Coturnix japonica: one gene and its partner. The protein of the gene in region 2 binds, or shares a complex with, the protein of the main gene of each other region. Links are inferred from orthologs where the notes say so. Each region holds a gene or a part of one and is shown on either strand. Other genes may lie near its edges.

Evidence for each region.
Region 1: the proteins of NUDT21 (region 2) and CPSF7 are in contact, whole or in part, in a crystal structure (PDB 3N9U), measured with the Homo sapiens proteins. The link is inferred for Coturnix japonica from reciprocal best matches to the Homo sapiens genes NUDT21 and CPSF7. Residues at the interface, in NP_008937.1 of Homo sapiens: Arg68, Asn152, Glu154, Pro156, Tyr158, Tyr160, Pro162, Ala163, His164, Ile165, Thr166, Lys167; in NP_001129512.1 of Homo sapiens: Trp91, Trp92, Thr93, Thr94, Asp95, Gln96, Glu112, Lys114, Phe115, Glu117, Asn118, Arg119, Ala120, Asn121, Gly122, Gln123, Ser124.

Annotation. Positions count from the first base shown.
Region 1 is NC_029520.1:299,058-303,575, forward strand, and holds the start of CPSF7 (cleavage and polyadenylation specificity factor subunit 7), read right to left. Parts: upstream 3,064-4,518; 5' UTR 3,043-3,063; coding exon of another isoform or gene 3,030-3,042; coding exon 2,853-3,029; intron 2,681-2,852; coding exon 2,597-2,680; intron 1,695-2,596; coding exon 1,476-1,694; intron 1,222-1,475; coding exon 1,118-1,221; intron 873-1,117; coding exon 727-872; intron 1-726. Other genes in the region: SDHAF2 (succinate dehydrogenase assembly factor 2, mitochondrial), read left to right, coding at 3,028-3,042, 3,796-4,019, 4,115-4,224, 4,314-4,444.
Region 2 is NC_029526.1:522,941-527,433, forward strand, and holds the start of NUDT21 (cleavage and polyadenylation specificity factor subunit 5), read right to left. Parts: upstream 3,051-4,493; 5' UTR 2,979-3,050; coding exon 2,863-2,978; intron 1,892-2,862; coding exon 1,691-1,891; intron 493-1,690; coding exon 429-492; intron 1-428. Other genes in the region: prolyl 3-hydroxylase OGFOD1, read left to right, coding at 3,204-3,357, 3,441-3,586, 4,046-4,092, 4,159-4,259. UniProt on the Homo sapiens protein: Component of the cleavage factor Im (CFIm) complex that functions as an activator of the pre-mRNA 3'-end cleavage and polyadenylation processing required for the maturation of pre-mRNA into functional mRNAs.

The DNA of each region.
Region 1 (4,518 bases), on a different chromosome or scaffold from region 2:
AAAGCTGCTGAGCCCATTGCAAGACCACTCAGGGAGGCTGAAAGTGCACAAACCCTGGCCACCGAACCATGAGGGTGGGCAGAGACGTGGCCTGAGCAGCAACGGAGCCGAAGGAAGAATGCGACGGTTGGAGCTACCCCCCTGAACCTCGGCCAAAGCCTTTGGAAAGATGGGCTTTCCTTGCGTGAAATGGGTCACGGGGTCTACAATGAACACAGCTGGCCAAGACCTCCTCGTCCGTGCTCCTGCCAAGTCCGTCCCTGCGGGCTCCACAGAGCCCCCCAGTGCGGGGCCAGGGCGTCACATCGCTGCGGAGTGAGGCTAGGACCATCTATGGCCATTGTAGAAAGCCCACGGCCAGGCCCCAGCTGGAATACTGTGTCCAGTGATGGGCACCTTACCTCCGCAGGGATGGACAAATTCTGGAGGAGATCCAGAGAAGAGCTACTAATAGATATGGAGGGTCTTAGCTATGTTGGTAGGCTGAAGAGCTTAAGCCCATTCAGTTTGGAGAGGAGGAAGAGGAGGCTACGAGGGATCTTCGCAGTGAGTGAGCACCTAAAAGGGGATCATAAAGACTCGGGTCAGGATCTAAGCAGACTCGGCGGCAATTGGACATAACCCCAGAAGCTGCTGGTGGTCTTCCCCCCCACCCCAAGGTCTCATCCTGACAGCTCAGTGGTGGGGCCCAAGGAGCTGCCCGCCATGTGCCTGCGCCCCACTCACGTTTGCGAGCCTGAGCCTCGAACTGGGACAGGTTCTGCCGGGTGGCCAGCCTCACCTCCACCTTATCCCCATTGAGCACTTTGCCAGGCAGGAGCTCCAGCAGCTTGTGGACCGAGTTCTCAGAGGCCACCACCACCTCCGCGTACCTGCAGGGAGGGTCAGTGGTCAGCAGACTCCCAGCCCTTCACCCCCTGGCAGCTCAAGGACCCACACCAAGCAGCATGGAGCTGCGTGCCTCCATCAATCCCCCCTCCTGTTCCAGGTGCTTGTGCTGCTGACAGCCTGTGTTTCATCCTGTACCATCTCTGTACCCCCTCACTGCTCCCAGGATGTGGCTATGGGGGCCCTGGCTGCCCCATTCCTCCTCGTTCCCTTCCCCCTCAGCTCTCACCCTTTCGACTGGCCATTGGCTCGATTCTCTGCAAACTTCAGCTCCACCACGTCATAGACACCCACTGAGCGGATGGTCTGGATCAGCTGCTGGTCTGTTGTCCACTGTGGGGCAGCAAGGCAGAAGCTGGGATGGGGTTCAGTTCCCGCAGCCCTCCCCAGCACCCCATGCCCAAAGGCAGCCATCCCACTGGCTCAGGGCTCGGCTCTGCGGCCTCTCAGGGCTATAAAAGTCCCTTTCCCCTTAGGCCAAGCTCAGCTTGGAATATCAGCTCAGCACAGAGCAAGGAAAACCACTGCTCCAAGCAGCCCTACACCTCCAAAGAACCCTCACTTGTTTGTTCCCCCAAAGCACTCACCCAGGAGAAGCTGCCCACATAGACAGCTGCCCGCTTGTTGCGCAGCCCACTGTAGGTATACAGGATGGCAGGGGCTTTGCTGTTGGCTTTGGGGGGGGGCTCCTGGCGAATTTCAGGGGGTGGTTCCAAGCTGCTGGTGCGGCTCTCGGGGGGCTGCGAGCTGGCAGTCAGCACGTCGTCATACAGGTCCATCTGGTCAGCATTACTGAATTCTGAGTCCTGCAAGGGGAGAAATGGTTAATGGGAAGCTGGGGTTGAAGCTGTGGCTCAGGAAGGGCTCTCTGGGTTGTCAGGGCACACGGGGCTATGCGGACTGCTCTGTTCTGGCCCCGCAGAGTGTCACATCCCAGAGGCTTCTGCTGCCTCGTCTTCTTTCTTCACAGCTGGTTTGCTGGCTGTGACCTCAGCAACTGAGCAAGACCCAGCTTGTTCTATGCTCCACTCTCATGGGTGCACAAGCAGAAAGCAAACAGCTCATGGCTGAGTATCCTGCTCCCTTCAGCAAGTACCAAACCCCTCCTGCCCTGTCCGCAGGCTGTTCCATCACCTGGCTACAGCAGCGCAATTCCACTCCCTTTAAGGCCACCAACTTCCTCCTTGTGCTCTCTGCAGCAGTTCAACCTTTGGCAGGATAAACCCAGAGATCTCAGCACTGCAAAGGCTGAGCCATGCCTTCTCCAAGCCCTCCAGAAAGCCACTCTCTGATCTCTGAGACCGCAGCAGCTCCATCTGCCCATGCAGAAGATGCCGCTCTCCATCAGCAGGCAGCCCTAAGGGTTCACAGCAGCCCAGTATGAAACCATATTCACAGTGATGCTCTCTCAATGACAACCATTCCTAAAGCAAGCCATAACTTTTGGCATTGGGCTCCACTGGCTCCTGTGCCAAAACCCAGTCTGGGTTTATGGTTTTCCACATTGCCTTCCACAGCCTGTGCTCACTCCCAGCTCTGCCCCTGTCCTGAGCAGCCGTTTTTCCTTCAGCTCTCGCTCTGTCGTTCCATGGACCTGCCGTAGAACTGCTCTATTATTTCCTATTCTGGAACAGCTGCTGCTTCTCCCCCCTCCATTCACTCTCCCCCAGACCCCACTTCTATTCTCCCCCCCTCCCCAGCTCCACACCTGGTTGAACTCCTCGTCAGCGTAGATATCAATCAGGTCCACTCCCTCCGACATGTTCCCAGGCGAAGCGCGCACGGCAGGGCTCTGCGCCGAGGGATGAGTCACCGCAGCGCCCTTCTACCCCCCGCACAACCCCCCCGTCAGGGCCCTGCCTGCCCCGGAACGGGGGTCCCACACCCCCCGCCCCAAAAGGCCCGTCCCGTTCTAGGCCCCCCCCCCACGCTCCCGCGAGCGCGCGCGCGCCAACTGCGCTCACCGCCACCTCCAGGGCCGCCACGCCACGCCCCTTCCGGCTTCTTCCTCCCGCCTTTGCCGCGCCCCTTCCGGCTTCCTCCTCTAGCCACGCCCCTTCCGGCTCTCCCTGCCTGCCATAGAGACGAGAGGGCTGGGTGAGCAGCGCGCCCCCTGCTGGTGGTGCGTTAGGAGGAATCATGGCGGTCAGCAGGGTGAGGAGGGGCTGCGGGGTTGCGAGGGATATAGAGAGGGTTGGGAGGTGTTGTGGGGGGCAGTGAGGAAGGTGGGAGCGGGCTTTTGCTTTAGGGCTGTGTGTGAGGACTGGGGCTGGAAGGGAGTTGGGGCCTGGAGGGGGATTGGGGCCTAGTGAGGAATAGGGGGAGGATTGGGGCCTGGAGGGGGAGAACAGGGAGAGAATGGGGTCCGGAGGGGGAGGGGAAAGGGGNCCGGAGGGGGAGGGGAAAGGGGATGGGGATTGAGGCCTAAAAGGGGAGGGGAAAGGGGGATGGGGCCTGAAGGGGAAGGGGAAGGGGGAGGGTGAAAGGGGAGGGGAAGGGGAAGGAAGGTTGAGGCCTGGAGGGAAAATGGACAGGAGCAGGGTCTGGGCGGGTGGAATGTGGGGGAATTGTGGCCCTGGGTGGAAATGGGATCTGTATGTAGGATGGGGGAGATTGGGAATGGGAGGGCCTGGAGGCTGACTGTGGAGCTGTGGTTTCTGAGGACTGAAGGGGAATGAGAGGCCTGGCTGGTCCTATGAGTGGTGGGGGTATTGGCGTTGTGTGTGGACTTAAGGGGGGCATGAGGGGATGGAATCATGTGCAGGGTGGGAGGGATTGGAGCCTGGAGGGGGAACAAGGGGCAATGTATGGGGTCTTAGCAGGGCCTGGGGTGGGGTTTGATTTGGGGCATGGGGGTTGTGGGGCTCTGCTGGAGCTCTCCTCATCCCATTCCCATCTCCTCGGCAGCTGTGCTCGCTGTCTCGCCTCACCCTGTGCCGCCCAGTGCTGGCAATGCTGCGTGCACCACGAGGCTACAGCGGGGCCTCGCAGGGTGACCCGGGGAAGGATGTGCTGGAGATGCCACTGCCGCCATGGAAGGAGCGCCCCAATGAGTCCCTGGACACCAAGAGAGCACGTCTGCTGTACGAGAGCAGGAAGAGGGGCATGCTTGAGAACTGCATCCTGCTCAGGTGGGGCTTTGTGCAGACTGTGGTGGGGCAGAGGCAGGAAGGAGCCTTTCTGTCTTTCTTTTCTGTCCCATTGACCCCCATGTGATCTCCTGCAGCCTTTTTGCCAAGGAGAACCTGAGCCGTATGGATGAGCGGCAGCTGAACCTCTATGACCAACTCATCAACGTTCCCAGCAACGACTGGGACATCTACTACTGGGCCACAGGTACATGTGCACTGCACTGGGCCATGGGATGTGTGGGTGACTTGGGGCAATGCTGAGCTGCTCTCCTTCACTCTGCCTCTTATTTGCAGAAGCTAAGCCCACGCCGGCTGTGTTTGACAATGAGGTGATGGCCATGCTGAAGGAGCTTGCTAAGAACAAGAAGAAGGAGCAGAGGCTGCGGCAGCCAGACCTGGAGTACCTCTTTGAGTCCACAAACTGACAGCCCTCAGGGCACAAGAAATAAAGCTGTGGCTGCGAGCTACTGGTACCAGTGTCCGCTGCCTCCACGTAGTC
Region 2 (4,493 bases):
TGCACACTACATTCAGCCAAACTGAGTGCCATAAGACCAATGAGAAGAAGGAAATGCAGTGACACTACCTGACAGCAATCGTTTTGATAAAGTTGTTAAGAACGTGGGGAAAACTGGCTCAAAAACAAGTTGTCATCCTCACACTGTGCTCAGCTGTGTATCCTGCTGCACATCTGATGACAGCCCAAAACACAAGTTGCACATGAACACAGGACTCGGGGGGAAGACAGACCACTGGGTTACACTCTCATGAGGATAAGCGAGAGCTTACTGTAATACTTTGTTGTTAGTGACCTGAGAACATTTTACAGCATTAAAATGACAAGTGACGAGGAGACTGCTGCAGTTCTTTGGCTATTCTACTAACTCTAACATCATTCAACATTCCACAACATTCTAGTATTGCGACATAACAAAAGAAAACAGACCTCTGTCATTAAGCGTTTGAGCCCTTCTACCTCATCTTCTCCTGGATTGAGTTCACCACCAGGTCTGTTAAAATAATCAATGATTAAAGCTAGAGTTATGTTTTACAGTGTTAGCAGACTTTCACAGGTAAGTTTGGACACATTTCCATGCTTGCAGCTACAAATTCACTCAAGGTTTTTGCATTTGAGGTTCTAAATCTAACCATGCCCAATCTGAAGACAATAGGGTAGATTTCACCAAGACCATCTCTAATGGCTGCTACGTGCCCCTTAAAAAACAAAACAAAGCAAAACAGGCCAACAATAATAACTTCAGTGGGATGAAGTATAACAATATACATAATAATGATAGAGACACTTAGAAGGTTAAGTTTTAACAATAATAGAAAAGCACTGAAGTTGAAGAAGGGGTTGTAAACACCAGCTGTGCTTGTTCTAATCTCAAAAGCAGTACTTAGTGACGTGTGCAGGAAGCATAAAACTCAAGTGGAGAATTATCCTGCATTTCATGCAAGGATAATGAGAAAAATGAAGATACATTCTCGTCATAGTTGTTTGCAAAGGCAAACAATGTGCCTATTTCATCTACATACATGCCCCATATCAAAAAAGAATCTGGATATAGAGATAATTTTACTCCTCACCTGAGACCAAACACTGCAAATGTTAAAAACATAAAACCAAGAATACAAGGAGAATCACCTGTCCCAAGTCGAACCATTTTAAAATAAGAAAACAAGCGTGACCACCACTATAATCATATGACCAAAACTTCCTTCCAGTTGTGATAACACTGGAATAATTGAAGCACTTCCCTCACAAATTGAGATTCCTGTCCCTCTTATACCCAGCTGACCCAGCAGTTTGTAAATTCATAACCACTACTCATTTCCCAGGGTTTGCCATTTTTGCAGCCGTAGCATAAGTGTATTTAAGCATAACAGCTTGCACAGTGTAAGACCAAACCCTGACTACCAGCAGGGCTTCCAACAGGAACCTACCAGAGTGCAACAAAGATTTCCAGAGACTTTAGAACCAAGGCAACTCTCCACTACCCACGAGTAGAGTCAGATAAATACATTTTAGAGGGAAATTTCATCATTTTAAAAACAGTTCTCACAAACCATGCGCTTGGAACAAATGAATCTCATTAAAAACACCAAGCAGAGTTGGCCACATCTTACTTTGCGATATGTACATTTCAAGAGGTCTGTAATTTTCTGGTTGGACTAAGAAGGTGCTTTCAAGAAGCAGGCACTTACAGCTTGAAAAACGTCGTCCCCAGCTGCAGTAATAACACGTGGGGCAGCCGGTGCTCGTGCACTATCAGAACTCCTTCCACTGTCCGCCTCATGCCAATCTTGTCAAACTCTTCTCTCATGCGCTGGAACCGAGCAGCCACTGAACTGTCCTTCTCATAAAGGGGCTCCTTTGTGCCAAATGTGTAATTGGTGAGAGGATACCTAAAGGGGAAAAAAAGTATTACTACATAATAAGAAAGCTAAATTGACACCTCTAGCACGCAGTGTTCACCCTGCAGCTGAGCCTTCTGTACTCGAGGGAGCAGAAACTCACTCATTGCAAAGGACTACAAGGTCTGGGTTGCATGCTGCACTGCACACCCCATGCCATGCCAAGGGCTGCACCATGGCTCATGAGGGCAGGAAGTCATGCCGGTGGGATACGTTGTCATGGTGCCAACCCAGAAACAGGCAAACACAACCAGAAGCATCTACAGCTACTCTGCAGCCACCTGCTTTGACTCCGCAGCCTGGAGAAAAGGGAGAGGAAGCTCCTCTCTTGTCCCTTTAAGCCTTCACTAAGAGCAGCCCTGCAGAGGTCTTGGGGCTTCTGATGGATGAAAAATGAGACATGAGACAGTGTGCTGCAGCCTGGAAAGGCAAGAGAAAGGCTGCATCAACTGAGGGATGGCAACACGAAGAGAAAAGGGACTGTCCCCTTTGCTCTGTCCTCACGAGACCCCACCTGGAGAATTTGTGTCCCCCAGCATAGGAAGGGTACGGAGCTGTTGTAGCAGGTCCATAGGGAGAGTGATTTTTTACACAGGCAGCGATAAGATGAAGTGAATTAAGACTAAAAGAGGGAACATTCTTTACTCAGCGGCCGCCCAGAGTTCGGGCTGCTCCATCCCCGATGGTGGCCGAGCAGCGGATGGTGCCTGTGCAGCCTTTGATGGCGGGGCCGTGTGTGTCCCCCCGGCTGGTTGTTCCCGCAGCGCTGTGAGGCCCCTTTTCTCCCCGCCGTTCCGGACTCTCACTATTGCTATCACTATCACTATTGCTATCACTATCACTATCACTATCACTATCACTATCACTATCACTGTCACTATCACTATCACGCACCGCTCCCCTCCCGCTCCGACCCCCGAGCGGTTCCAGCCGGTTCCTCCCGCCCCCAGCGCGGCCCTCACAGGTTGATGGTCCTCTCCAAGGTCAGCGGCTTAGTCTGCTGGATGTACTTGTTCCCGAACTGGTTCACCCCGCGGGGCCAGCCGGTCTGCGAGCGGTTGGGCGGCACCACGGACATGGCGGGAGGCGGCGGGAAGTCGATCCGCCATACAACTCCCGGCGGGCCAAGCGGCCCCGCTCTGCCGGAAGCGCCCGCCTTCCACTTCCGACGGCGCCCGCCGCTGAGTCGTCCCTCCTGGCCAATCGTAGGGCGCCCTACCCCTCTCCCCGCCCCCCACGCTCTCTGATTGGCTCGGCACACGCAGGGACGGCTGGGATTGGTAGTTCGGTGTGCGGCGGCGGCATGGGGGCCAAGCGGCGCGGAGCGGCGGGCGGGCGCGGTGTGGAGAAGCGCGGGCGGCGGGAGGTGGAGGCCGAGCTGTGTGCAGCCATCGGTGATGTGGAGCTACGGGAGCGGGCGGCAGCGGCCTGGGACGGCGGGGAGCCGCTCCGGCACGGTACGGGATGGGCCCTAGGGGGGGTCTAGCGGCTTTCATCCTACTGCCGCCTGCCGAACTGACCGCCCGCTTTGTCCCCGCAGAGGCCGTAGCGGTGGAGCGGGCCCCGTTCCGGCACGGCGTGTTGCGCGGCCTCTTGGCCAGCCCGGCATTCGCGGCGGCGCTGGGCGATGAGCTGCTGGGCCTGGGATACAGGGAGAGACGGAACGACCTGCTGACAGTGCACCAGGTGGGACGGGACGGGAGCGGGGCTGAGCGACAGGGAGCACAGAGTGCACTGAGCGACATAGAGCACAGAGTGCACTGAGCGACATAGAGCACAGAGTGCACTGAGCGACATAGAGCACAGAGTGCACTGAGCGACATAGAGCACAGAGTGCGCACTGCCTGCAGCCCGCAGTGCCACAGCAACACCACTCTGGGACACCCCAGCGATGGTTGACACCCCCCCCCTCCCCGTTGAGCTGTGCCGTTGCCTCATTGCTCTTTCAGAGCGCAGATGTTCCCCAATGGCCACCCTGACCCTCTGACAGAACACGAGGCCATCGCTCTCACCTTATCACTGTCCCCTGGGAGCAGAGGCCAACCCCATCCTCACCACAACCTCCTTTTAGGGGTTGCAGAGCCGTGAGGTCTCCTTCAGCACCTTCTTCAATGCTTTTCTCCATCTCTCCCCATGCTGCCGCAGTCCGAGGAGCTGGGGGCCAGGCCGGAGCCCCACGTCAGTGCACTGAGGTAAGGCAGCAGGGTCCACGGGGCAGCACATCCTGGGCCTGCCTCACCCTGTGCTTTGCTCCCCAGGCGGGCGCTGAGCGGGACCCTGCGAGCGTGGCTGGAGGCTGTTACCCACATTGAGCTGGAGCCCTCCATTGACATCTCCTGCGCCAAGTATGAGAGCACAGGTCAGTCTGCCCACCAGCCTCCTGACTCCACATGGCACCACCCAAACCCCGAGTCTGAGAGCAGCGTCCTAGCGCTCCCTCAGCTCTGGAGCTTGGGGCTGAGCCCACCACCCAGTGAACCACAGCCTGTCCCTAACGCCTCCTGACCCTTCCCCATTACTGTGGTCATGCTGCTTGCAGCTGCAGCAGGGCCCAAGGCTGGTATTCCAACCCTGGATGGTGGCTGTTCCATCC